3 linked regions of the Arabidopsis thaliana genome follow. The protein of the gene in region 1 purifies or fractionates together with the protein of each later gene. This does not show direct contact. Each region holds a gene or a part of one and is shown on either strand. Other genes may lie near its edges. The genes, in order: MTHFR2, GDH3 and GDH2.

The links.
Region 2: the proteins of MTHFR2 (region 1) and GDH3 fractionate together in Arabidopsis thaliana (co-fractionation; one large-scale study listed by BioGRID). This does not show direct contact.
Region 3: the proteins of MTHFR2 (region 1) and GDH2 fractionate together in Arabidopsis thaliana (co-fractionation; one large-scale study listed by BioGRID). This does not show direct contact.

Annotation. Positions count from the first base shown.
Region 1 is NC_003071.7:18,260,113-18,263,868, reverse strand, and holds the start of MTHFR2 (methylenetetrahydrofolate reductase 2), read right to left. Parts: upstream 1,681-3,756; 5' UTR 1,569-1,680; coding exon 1,106-1,568; intron 1,021-1,105; coding exon 938-1,020; intron 859-937; coding exon 685-858; intron 378-684; coding exon 204-377; intron 125-203; coding exon 24-124; intron 1-23. Other genes in the region: histone-lysine N-methyltransferase ASHH3, read right to left, coding at 2,866-2,931, 3,028-3,076, 3,165-3,255, 3,346-3,385, 3,519-3,666, 3,749-3,756.
Region 2 is NC_003074.8:1,004,711-1,008,466, reverse strand, and holds the start of GDH3 (glutamate dehydrogenase 3), read right to left. Parts: upstream 1,688-3,756; 5' UTR 1,555-1,687; coding exon 1,447-1,554; intron 1,349-1,446; coding exon 1,235-1,348; intron 1,151-1,234; coding exon 929-1,150; intron 847-928; coding exon 772-846; intron 669-771; coding exon 552-668; intron 478-551; coding exon 227-477; intron 143-226; coding exon 67-142; intron 1-66.
Region 3 is NC_003076.8:2,353,787-2,357,542, reverse strand, and holds the start of GDH2 (glutamate dehydrogenase 2), read right to left. Parts: upstream 1,785-3,756; 5' UTR 1,391-1,784; coding exon 1,283-1,390; intron 1,182-1,282; coding exon 1,068-1,181; intron 957-1,067; coding exon 660-956; intron 501-659; coding exon 384-500; intron 291-383; coding exon 40-290; coding exon of another isoform or gene 1-39. Other genes in the region: AT5G07430 (Pectin lyase-like superfamily protein), read right to left, coding at 3,474-3,633, 3,735-3,756.

The sequences.
Region 1 (3,756 bases):
CGAGAGAAACTAAGCTCTGTTACCAGAAAATGGGGCGCACATCTTCCTTAGTACGGAAAACATTTGCAGGGCGTCTCCAGGGTAAAGAACGAGAAATTTTGGACTCATCAATCATACCAAGATTCTGAAACAACAACAAAATAGTAAAGCTACTCCACTATCAGTATCATGCTTTACATCAAGTAGAAAAAGTGAGGACCAACCATCAATATTGCAAGAGCAGATTTCTCCATGTTCAATGTGTAGAGATGAAGAGACTTGACTCCATGAGCCAACATCTTTTTACACATCTCTGTTCCAAGGTGAATACCATAGGCTTTCACAGCTTCTTCGTTATCCTTGATAGGCTCCAAGGCAGCCATCACCTCAACTGGTATCTACATTAATATAATCATATGTAAATTCATCTATCTTTTTTTCACAAAAAGCACAGCTGGTATCTACATTAATATAAAGAATTCTCTTTGAATAGCTATCCAACAAACACTTTCTCTGAAAACAATAATATAATCAAGTATCTCAATTTCATCTAGCTGATCACGAAACCTTAAATACACTTTTTTAAAAACATATCCTAAGCTAGCAAACAAACACCTTTATGGAAAGGCAACAAGCAATATCATTCATCTCCTAAAAGGTGATTCATTTGCAGGAACTGGTGTTTACTAAACGATCAAAACTTACCTTAGTCTTGCAGAAACCAGTCATACGCAAAAAGCCTCTGTAGTTATTAATAGGCATAATTCCAGGAACAATGGGACAACTAATCCCAATTTGCCGACAATCATTCACAAACTTGAGGAATATATCAGTATCATAGAAAAGCTGAGTAACAATCAGATCAGCTCCAGCATCAATCTGTTCCAAGACAAACCCAAATTCAAAAATTGATGCAGACATTTAAGAACAAAGCAAAACAAAAACAAACAAAACAAACCTTTTTCTTCAGATACTCAAGATCACTCTGATAAGCTTCATTAGACGCAAGACCATTCTCACCAATAACATCAGGATGCGCCTCTGAAATATCAAAACACATAAAAATCCAATCTTTAGCTACAAATCACACGAAACAAAGAAATCAAATTCGAATTCGAGACATTACCAGGATAACCAGCGACAGTGATACCAAAGTAATCACCATACTTGCTACGAATGTGATTAACAAGATCCAAAGCACAATCAAAACCACCTTCAACCTGAACAAACTTATCTTGACCATGAGGAGGATCACCTCTAAGAGCAAGCACATTCTGAATCCCATTAGATCTAATAGTCTCAAGAGCATGATCAATCTTCTCAACAGGCATGTTAGTACACGTAAGATGCATCATACTCTCAACACAAACAACGTTTTGCATCCTCGAAGCTATATCAAGCGTTAGATCTGCGGTAGATCCACCAGCTCCCCAAGTGATATCGCAAAACGTTGGACCATAAGCAACCATTCGATCCATTCTCTCAAAGAGATTGTCGACTCCATCTTCTGTCTTTGGTGGGAAGAATTCGAAGGAAAACGCTGTTTTGCCTTCGTCGGCTAATGACTGGATCTTATCTATCACCTTCATCTTCTTTTCGAAATGGAGAAGAAGAATGAGAGACAAAGGCGAGTTCTTTCAGGTTCTTCTACTCACTGCTTTATAGTAAACAGAGAGATTCCAAAATGTTTGGTGAATTTTAGACTTTACCTTACCCGTCCACTTCCTTATATTATTTTCATTTTTAAGACAAAATCATACTTTAAATAAAGTATAATTACATAATTTACATTTAATCATTGTTTTGTGCGAAAATCCATGTAGTTAGACAACATGAGTTACATTTTTATGCTTGACAAAAAAAAACATTTTTATTAAAGTGTTTATTATTCAAGAGATTTACCAAACCATTCTAAAGTGAAAAAAATGAAGAATCCGAGTTATTTGATATTAAGATAGTCGAGTTGATATTAGTAAACAAGATGAGTTACATAATTATTTTAAAGGAATGTGATTAGTAAAAGATTTACCAACCACAATTAGATTTGTCGTTATCAATCCCCAACCCCTGCAGTCTATGCTTTTTGAGTTGGTGAACCAGAACCACACACCCACATCACCCACCTACTACCAAAAAACCAATGATCCATCACTTTTGTTTAACAAAAATAATCTACTTTTACCAAAAAAAAAAAAAAAAAAAAAAAATCTAATTAAAATTTTCCGTTTTTCACTTACAGTGTATCTTTAAACTTTACAAAACTTTTTCCAATTTAAAACTGTTATGTTGTTTTAGTAATTTTTCACTTGTTTAACTCATTTTGCATTTGAAGGAATTTGAAACGTTAATCGCTAAAACAAAACTGGTCAGATTTTGCAAACACCGGCTTTTGTCGGCGACACCGACACAGTCACACTCACACAGATGCACGAATAAGAACAGCACATGCAAACAAGAACAAACCGGTCTTTGGATACAAATTTTTAAAAGCTAAACCGGATATGAGATTACCGGTTCTTACAAAGTCAATTACACACCACGAAGGTTCTTGCAAGACATCATCATTTGAGATCCCCATGAAAAAAGAAGGAAGGAGAAGAAAGTACAGATGTGGTTACACAAGTAGATATATGATATCTCTTATAATGGTTGTACAAACACAGGTCACAAGTTAGACGCAACAAACAATGTCACTGCACCAATCCCAGTCAGTCAGACCCGGGTTTTTTGGGATACCTTTAGTTTACCAAGACAGGTTATTTTGGTTTCTCAACTTCAAAGCAATCTGCAGAAACATAGCAGCCAGGGTAATTTAATACTCTATGCTTCTGGGAGTTTTAATGTTTCATTAAGAGAGTGAAGAGTATAAATCACCTGAAAACAATATTAGACAATCTCCCAGTCTTCTCTCGACATGTCGACAAACTCGGTAACACCATCCTCGAACATCACCTGGACCAAGTTTAAAGATGTTAACAGAGAGGTCTTAATTGAGAATGATTTTGCCAAGTTCGATGGTGAGGAACAAGTATTGGCTAATTGTAATACCGAGTGCTTTCTTGAATACTCATCAAAATGTCTAACGAGGCCAAAACACCTGAAAATCTCAAAAGATAAAACATTGGATGAGAAAAGCATAGAATGAGTCATAAAACTAATCCACGAGTTCAAAACTCAATAAATACCTATCACTCGTGGGGCGAGATAACCTGATCACCACACCAATGCAATTACGCGAACATGTATCCCTTTGACTAAGATTGTTCCATGATTTTCCTGGAGAAACATGGGAATCCAAATTACTTTCTTACAACCAAAACACAATAAGCTACTCTCGCAAATTGAGCAGAAAAAATCCAAACTTACCTGCATCTATGTGTCTATTTACAAGTCCATTTTGATGCACCTAACCAAAAGTGGGGAAAGAAAAAGAGTCACTTAGACCTCATCACACAAATTTTTCAGTGACTGTGAAACTATGCCAGGGCAAAGACGAGATATATATTTGATTCTTCTTTTCAGATAAAATTTGAAAATACCTTGGGCAGTGTCTGGGCCAATTCATGTGCCACTAGATTAAAAGCTTCATCCGAGGCTATCTTAGGTTTGCTAGGTTTTACACCAAGCTTCCTTCTGCAACCTACAGCCCCACAATGGCAGTCTTGATCTGCACCAAACTGAACAAACCTGCTCTATTTCTTAGTGTCACAACTCAACATAAAAACAGATATGTTACAAAGTAAACTGGAGAAGGAGGATATAAACTTACTGATAATC
Region 2 (3,756 bases), on another chromosome or scaffold:
GAGTTTCTGTTACGCGAGTTTGAGAAGAAGAAAGAGCAAAAACAAAGTATCAGATTTTCGAATAACCTCGTCAGCCTCAGGATCAGTTGGGTGATTAGCACCTTCAATGATGAATTTGGCTTTTATTTCGTTTGCATTTTCCCTAAAACAGACCAAAGCCAGAGGTTTAGAGGAAATCATGATAGAGAATAGATTAATATTTTTGAGACAAGAAACTATAAAAGACCTGTTGATGACTCCCCCTAGAGCTGCAGGGACAAGAATATCACAATCTTCGACAAGAATCGAATCAGGATCGATTGAATCAGCACCATCAAACCCTTTGATTCCTCTGTTTTCTTCAGCATGCTCGAGCAAACTCAAGATGTCAATTCCATTATTGTTCTTGATTGCTCCTGTGACATCACTCACCGCCACAATCTTACCACCTTTGTCACTTATCAACTTCGCTGCCCAAGAACCCACATTTCCAAAGCCCTAAAACGCAGAGACAGTATGAGTACCCTGACACCGAAGTAATCTCTCTGACTAAACATTGTAACTTCTTTTACCTGGATGGCGAATCGCTGTCCAGATATGGTCTTTCCATGTTCGTTGAGTAAAGCTTCTGTTGCAAACAACACTCCTCTTCCTGTAGCAGCATCTCTCCCAAGAGATCCACCAAGATCCTGCTCAAAACATCATCCTCAAAAATCAAATCTCATTCAGTTTTAGATTAGTTGAACACATAAACCGAACCAACCTAAAACCGCGATTAGAACGGTCACTTACAATGGGTTTTCCAGTGACAACAGCAGGAGAATGTCCATGGAATTTTGAGTATTCATCAAGAATCCAAGCCATTGTCTGAAAATTTTCATCACTATATTTCAGACAAGAACAACACGTAAAATACAAGATGAAGACTTCAAGATCATGTTTTCGAAACCTGAGGACCGGTTCCCATATCAGGAGCTGGAACATCAGTATGAATCCCAATAAGATCGTGAATCTTCTGAGTGAAAACTCGAGTCAAACGTTCGAGCTCTGAGAGACTTAGCTCGCTCGGGTCACAACCGATTCCTCCTTTGGCTCCTCCATAAGGTATCTTAGCCACTGCTGTTTTCCATGTCATAAGTTGAGCCAAAGCGTTTACTTCATCCGGTTCAACCTGTCGATTACCGAAATCTGGTTTACTTCATGCCAATATTGAATTTGTTTTGGTTTGATGAAAAAAAAACAGAGTAAAACAAACCTCTGGATGATATCTGATTCCACCTTTCATGGGACCTCTTGCATTGTCGTGTTGAACTCTGAATCCAACAAAGGATGCTAGAGTTCCATCGTCTTTTGGTATGGTACATTCCACCTGCAATAGTTGGTTAGTTCCGTTCAAATGATCTTGAACCGGATCGGTTCTGCAGATCTGTTATAGATGGAAGAAGAAAACAGAGGAAAACATCGAACCTTGATCTCTCTGAAGGGAATGAGAAGACTTTTCTCGAGCTTTGAGTCTAAACCAAGAAGCCTAGAAGCAAGCTTGAAGTTTCTGTTGGTTGCTGCTAAAGCATTCATGGCTTTCTTCTCTCTTCTTTATTTTGGGTTTATTTGATCAGAGAGTCTGATATGAAGACAGTTGGAAAAATGTGAGTCTTGCTTATGTTATTGCAAGTTTATTTATATAGAGTGATACGTACACACTTCGTGTTATGGAATATGAGAATGAAAATTTTGTTATTTATATTTATAATAAAAGATAATTTATATAAGGAATATGAATAATCATATAAGATGATACCCATAATTGATCCTGATTTTGAGTATTCAGAATACTATGTGTCTGTTTAGCAAAGTTCTCACACAAAAAAAATATATAGATTATAGAAATAGCCCATGTCTTCACCATGTGTATAAACTAGATCAGAATAATGGAATATTCATTAATGAAAAGGAAATCCGTAGACTAATCAAGCAGAATAAATATATTCTTTTCATTACAAAAAGATCAGAATAAAAATAGGAAAAATCAAGATTTCACAAGATTATAAATATTACATGGATGAAAGAGATAGCTCGTAAAATTTATCTTATTGTGTCACACACTGTCATTTTATTCATTTTAAATCTAGATTAAAGGAAAAAATAACATTTCGTATTACCTAATTAGTACCCACCTAATAAGCAAGGACCAAGATATTGTTTTTCAGAATTTGTTTTTTTTTTTAAATAAGAAAATATGATACAATAATGATCTAGCAATAGCATGCATTGGACCGGATGACTATACTCGTGCATGAAAAATCATAGTCAAATTGTAATACGTTAATGTGGGACGATAATAATACTTTTTTTTTGTTTTATTATCTACGATTATATATATATTAATAATCATTTACATATTTGTGATATACGACCCGAAATGAATCTTGCATGTCATAAGATCTTTACGTGTTATTAACTTATTCAATTCTACTTGCCCCTACACATATAGGCATAGCGTATACACTTTTGTGAGAGGGTGACAAAAAAAAACGTATACACTTTAGTGAGCTAGTGGGAAAAAAACGTATAAACTTATCACACACATACAATATTCAGTTTTAATTGAAAAGATTCTACGGATATATGTTTTTTTAGATACTCAAATCAGAATCTTTTTGGAATTAGAGGAGGACACGAGAGGATGCAACAAATCAAGAAACATATAGAATTACAAGATTCCACCATGAAAGAATCTTTTTGGAAAAGAGATTCCCCATGATTTATGCTTCCACTAATATAATTGATTTATTGTGGATTTCCACCAAGATTTCTTTCTCTTTCAATTTCCAAAAGAAGATATCAATTTCGTAATAACAACATTGACCGTAAATAGTGTTTCCAAATTTGATCTCACCCTCTTTGGTCAAACCAATATATAGAAATAATACCCCAATAAAGAATCCGGTTCATGGTAGGCTTGGTAGCTAATGTCAAGGATTTAGTATTTTTAAAACGTTATGCATTAGCTTTCTATCACTTTTTAATACATGAAAAAAAAAAAAAAAAAAAAAACCAATTGGACTTTCTCCTAAAAGGCCATTCCCTAATAAACAACAAACTACGAAAAGCTAAACATGTATTTAAAATATTAAAGTGATAGAAAGCTAATGCATAACAATTAAATGAAGCAATTTTTTTATATTCTTTGGTCAAACCAATATATATACAGAAATAATACCCCATTAAAGAATACTGTTCATGGTAGCTAATGTCAAGGATTTAGTATTTTTAAAACGTTATGCATTAGCTTTCTATCACTTTTTAATAAATGAAAAATAATAACTCAAACAAATATAAAAGGCCATTCCCTCTACGAAAAGCAAAACATGTATTTAGAATATTAAAAAGTCTAAAATCAAACCTAAAATTCAAAAATCAATTAAAGGCCACAATTGTCCTATAAAATTATGGGCTTGAAGCCCAATAATATCTAAGTGAAAAACTAAACTTAAATGCTCTCTCAAGGGACCAAGTCTCATTATTACCATCACCTCCGAGCGTTCTCTTCTCTCCATCTGTCTGCCGCTCCTTTAACGTCGGTTCCCATTTTCTTATTCACAATGACCCCAAGAAACTCGAGGAGATGGAAAAAAGCAAAAGGTAAAACAAAAACAAAAAAGCTTTCTTCGAGAACCAGAGCACATTGATTCCAAGGTAATTACTTTCTCAATGCCATGGAAAAGGACCCATTTTGTTCCCCTTTCCTGTAATCTAATCGTTTCAATCCGTGATTAT
Region 3 (3,756 bases), on another chromosome or scaffold:
GATTGGTGTTGATTTGATGAGTGAAGTTTTTGAACTGACTTGTTCAGGACACCACCAAGAGCGCATGGAATGAGAACATCACACTCATGAATGAGCAATTCATCTGAATTCATAGCGTCTCCACCATTGAAATCATTGAGACTTCCAGTTGCGTCCTTGTGTTTTATGAGAGCGTTGATGTCGATACCTTCAGGGTTCCTGATTGCACCAGTAATGTCGCTTACTGCAACCACTTTACCGCCTTTCTCGTGGATCAGCTTCGCAGCCCATGTTCCAACATTCCCAAAACCCTGTCACATATCATCCAAATCTCTCAACATTTCTGTCTTATATCATATACACAATAAAGCTTGAGATCTGAGATTAGCTGATAATGGTTTTACTTGAATAACAAATGTCAAACCCTGAATCGATTTCCCGTACTCAGCAAGAAGAGCTTCGGTGGCAAATACTACACCACGACCTGTGGCAGCTTCCCTACCTAATGAACCACCAAGATCCTACACCAAAGTGATCCAACAGTTACTTCTATACCAAAAAGCTCAAAACTATGGTAATCACATAGAAACATCGAATTAATTCAAATCAAGAAAACATCCATAGAATAAACAACAGATTCCGGACTCAGAATGATATAACCAAAATCTTAAAAGCCTTACAATGGGCTTTCCAGTGACAACAGCAGGGGAATGACCATGAAACTTGGAGTACTCATCAAGAATCCAAGCCATGGTTTGAGCGTTAGTGCCCATATCAGGAGCAGGCACATCGGTATGAATACCGATAAGATCATGAATCTTCTGTGTAAACACACGAGTCAACCTCTCAAGCTCGCTCAAACTCAAGTCACGAGGACTACATCCAATTCCACCTTTAGCACCACCATATGGAATATCTGCTACAGCAGTCTTCCAAGTCATCAGCTGAGCTAGTGCGTTAACTTCATCTGGATCAACCTTCAAACCAAAAAATCAAAACCCTTAATTCAAATCCCTAGATTCAATCTATAACCCCCAAAGTTGTCAACTTTAAATCCTAGATCAAGAACAAATGATAAAAGACCCTACCTCAGGATGATATCTGATTCCACCTTTCATGGGTCCACGAGCATTGTCATGTTGAACCCTAAATCCGATGTATGAAACCAGAGTGCCATCGTCTTTAGGAATCGTACACTCAACCTGAAATCAAAAGTAAAAAAATCCAAACAAAGATTGAGACGAATTTTCCCCAAAAACGAAACAAAAGAGTAAAACCTCAAAAGGAAAAAAAAAAGTCAAACCTTGATTTCTCTAAATGGGATCATAAGACTTCTCTCGATCTTCGAATCCAAACCCAGGATTCGAGATGCATGACGGAAGTTTCTGTTTGTTGCAGCTAAAGCATTCATGGTTTCTTCTCTATAAAAAATTCGAACTTTATGGAACAAAAAAAAAAAAAAAATCAACAAACCAAAAAATTCAAAGTGATCGGAAGATCCAAGATATCAGAAAGTGAAATTTGTATCTCGTGATCGGAGAAATTTACCGATTGTAAATGGGAAAAAGGTAAGAACTTGGAGTTTTTGATTTGTTGTGATGAATTGAAGAAGAAAGAATTGAGTATTTGTAGGGGAAAGAAGAGAAAGCGTAATTTGAATGAGATCGGATATTTTTGACGTATCCTACGTCAGACGGAGACTAATTATCGACTGCAATGACTCTTTTACCCCTTATTATTTATTTGGATTTCTCTAATCTTTTTTTTGGCTATCTCATCATTTTTAACTCCTTTTTAAGTCAAACATATCTTTAGAAGATTAACATTCCTTTAAAATTTACTAAAAAAATATTGGCTTGAGTTGGAAAGTTATAAATAATAATCGAAAAAATTACGGAAAAAAAATTTAGTAATTACAAGAACTACAAAAGTTTTTAAGAATATACCAACATGGTAAATTCGTAAATAACGGTGGAGAAGGTAGTAAATTTTGATTTTAACACTAATTGTTTTAAAAAACCATGTGATATTTTCAGGGATTTTTTTTTTTTTATAACTTTAATTGAGGAAAAGAAAACGATATTGGTTTCTTGAAATTTTCGGTTTCCGTTTTCTTACTGGTGTCCTGTGACAGGATCGGGACGTGGATACCCAATTAGGATGGAGCTGGGACAGACTGTTTTTGGGGACGGCGTTATATGACTTTTTACCTTGTTGATTACTATGTTGTATGACTCATTTATTTTTCCCAAATACAGTATTGTATTATCACTTTTATGAGACATTTAATGACATTTCATATTTGGAATACATATACAAATGTTATCAATTAGTACAGCAAATTGTGGATAAACTTCAGACCTGCTTACATAAGGTCCACGTTAGAAACAAAATAAAAACATGCATCTAGTGCAATTGACTCGCATTCTTTAAATACTAAGGCATTTTAGGAATATCTCTCCATAATTAGTGAAATTAAAAATGATTTTAATCCGAATATACTATAGAATATGACCAACAATATTTATTTAAAACATTTCCGAAAACGTATTTATATATATCAACAAAACGTGAAAGAAAAAAAATTGATCGTCGATGTTATCACGAGGAGATGCGAAAAACATGGAAGTAAAGCTCATTTAGGGGCGTGGATTCTCTGCGGATGTGACAATATTGTACTAATGGTTCTAAACAATCTTAGCCGTTGAAAATCGGATGGTCATTAAATCGTAAGAACCAGATTCCGAATCTAAGTCAGACTCAGCAGAACACGTTGCAGAAGTTGCTATCCTTCTCTTCTTTAATTGGATGGCGACTTTTTGCTGACCTGGCTGTGACGCGGCTACTCGCGGCGGCTTCGTCGGTGCATATCTATATTTTTTTTTTCTTTTGACCATTGGGTCTTCACTTAATTCAATAAAATTTATGCATGCATCTCTTATGGATTAAAATATACTAATTCGCCGAGAAAATTAAAGAAAGAAGAAGCTGATTCATATATATACGAAAAATATTGAAGTTTAACATTTGCAACTAGAACTATTAAAATGATGAGATCTAGAAAATGTGTGTGTTCTACTTTTTTTTGGTTAAAATAATCAAAATGTTTAATAAAAGCATATATATCATGGATAGACATTGACTCTTTCTTTTTGTTGGTACTTTAAACATATATACCATGAACGTTTAACATAAGAAAAACAAAAACAAATCATTAACTCAATAGGGTGTGAACATAATTATGATATTTTACAAAAACAAATTTTGTATATATATCCTATAGGAATTTCTAAATAAAGGAAAACAAAAACACCACAAACATCCGGTATATATAGAAATGAATGAATTGGAAGATTTATATATGTAGAAAAAATATTGATCAATTCATATCTTAAGCAATACAAAAAAAAAATAAAGAAACTAAAAAGATGGGAACATTTCAATTATAAATTAAAGAACGGTGTTACAACAAATAAGTTGTCTTAAGAAAAATTTCAGTATTTAGGAGGAGGAAGTAGCCATGTGGAGCCCTTAATGTAACCAAGAGTGAGGAAAGGCGTAACTTCGTTTTTGTCAATATCTTGTGTGTAAGGCACTCTCTTCTCTAAGTGTGACCCTGGTCCGAAACACTTGTATTCTCCATAGAACACCGTCCTGTATTTATACAACACACAATATCAAATTCAGTTTATAATCAAATATATATATAAAATGTAGTTCTATATGTAAATGAGATGATATGAAATGTTACGTACTTGTCATATCCGCGGTTGAGGT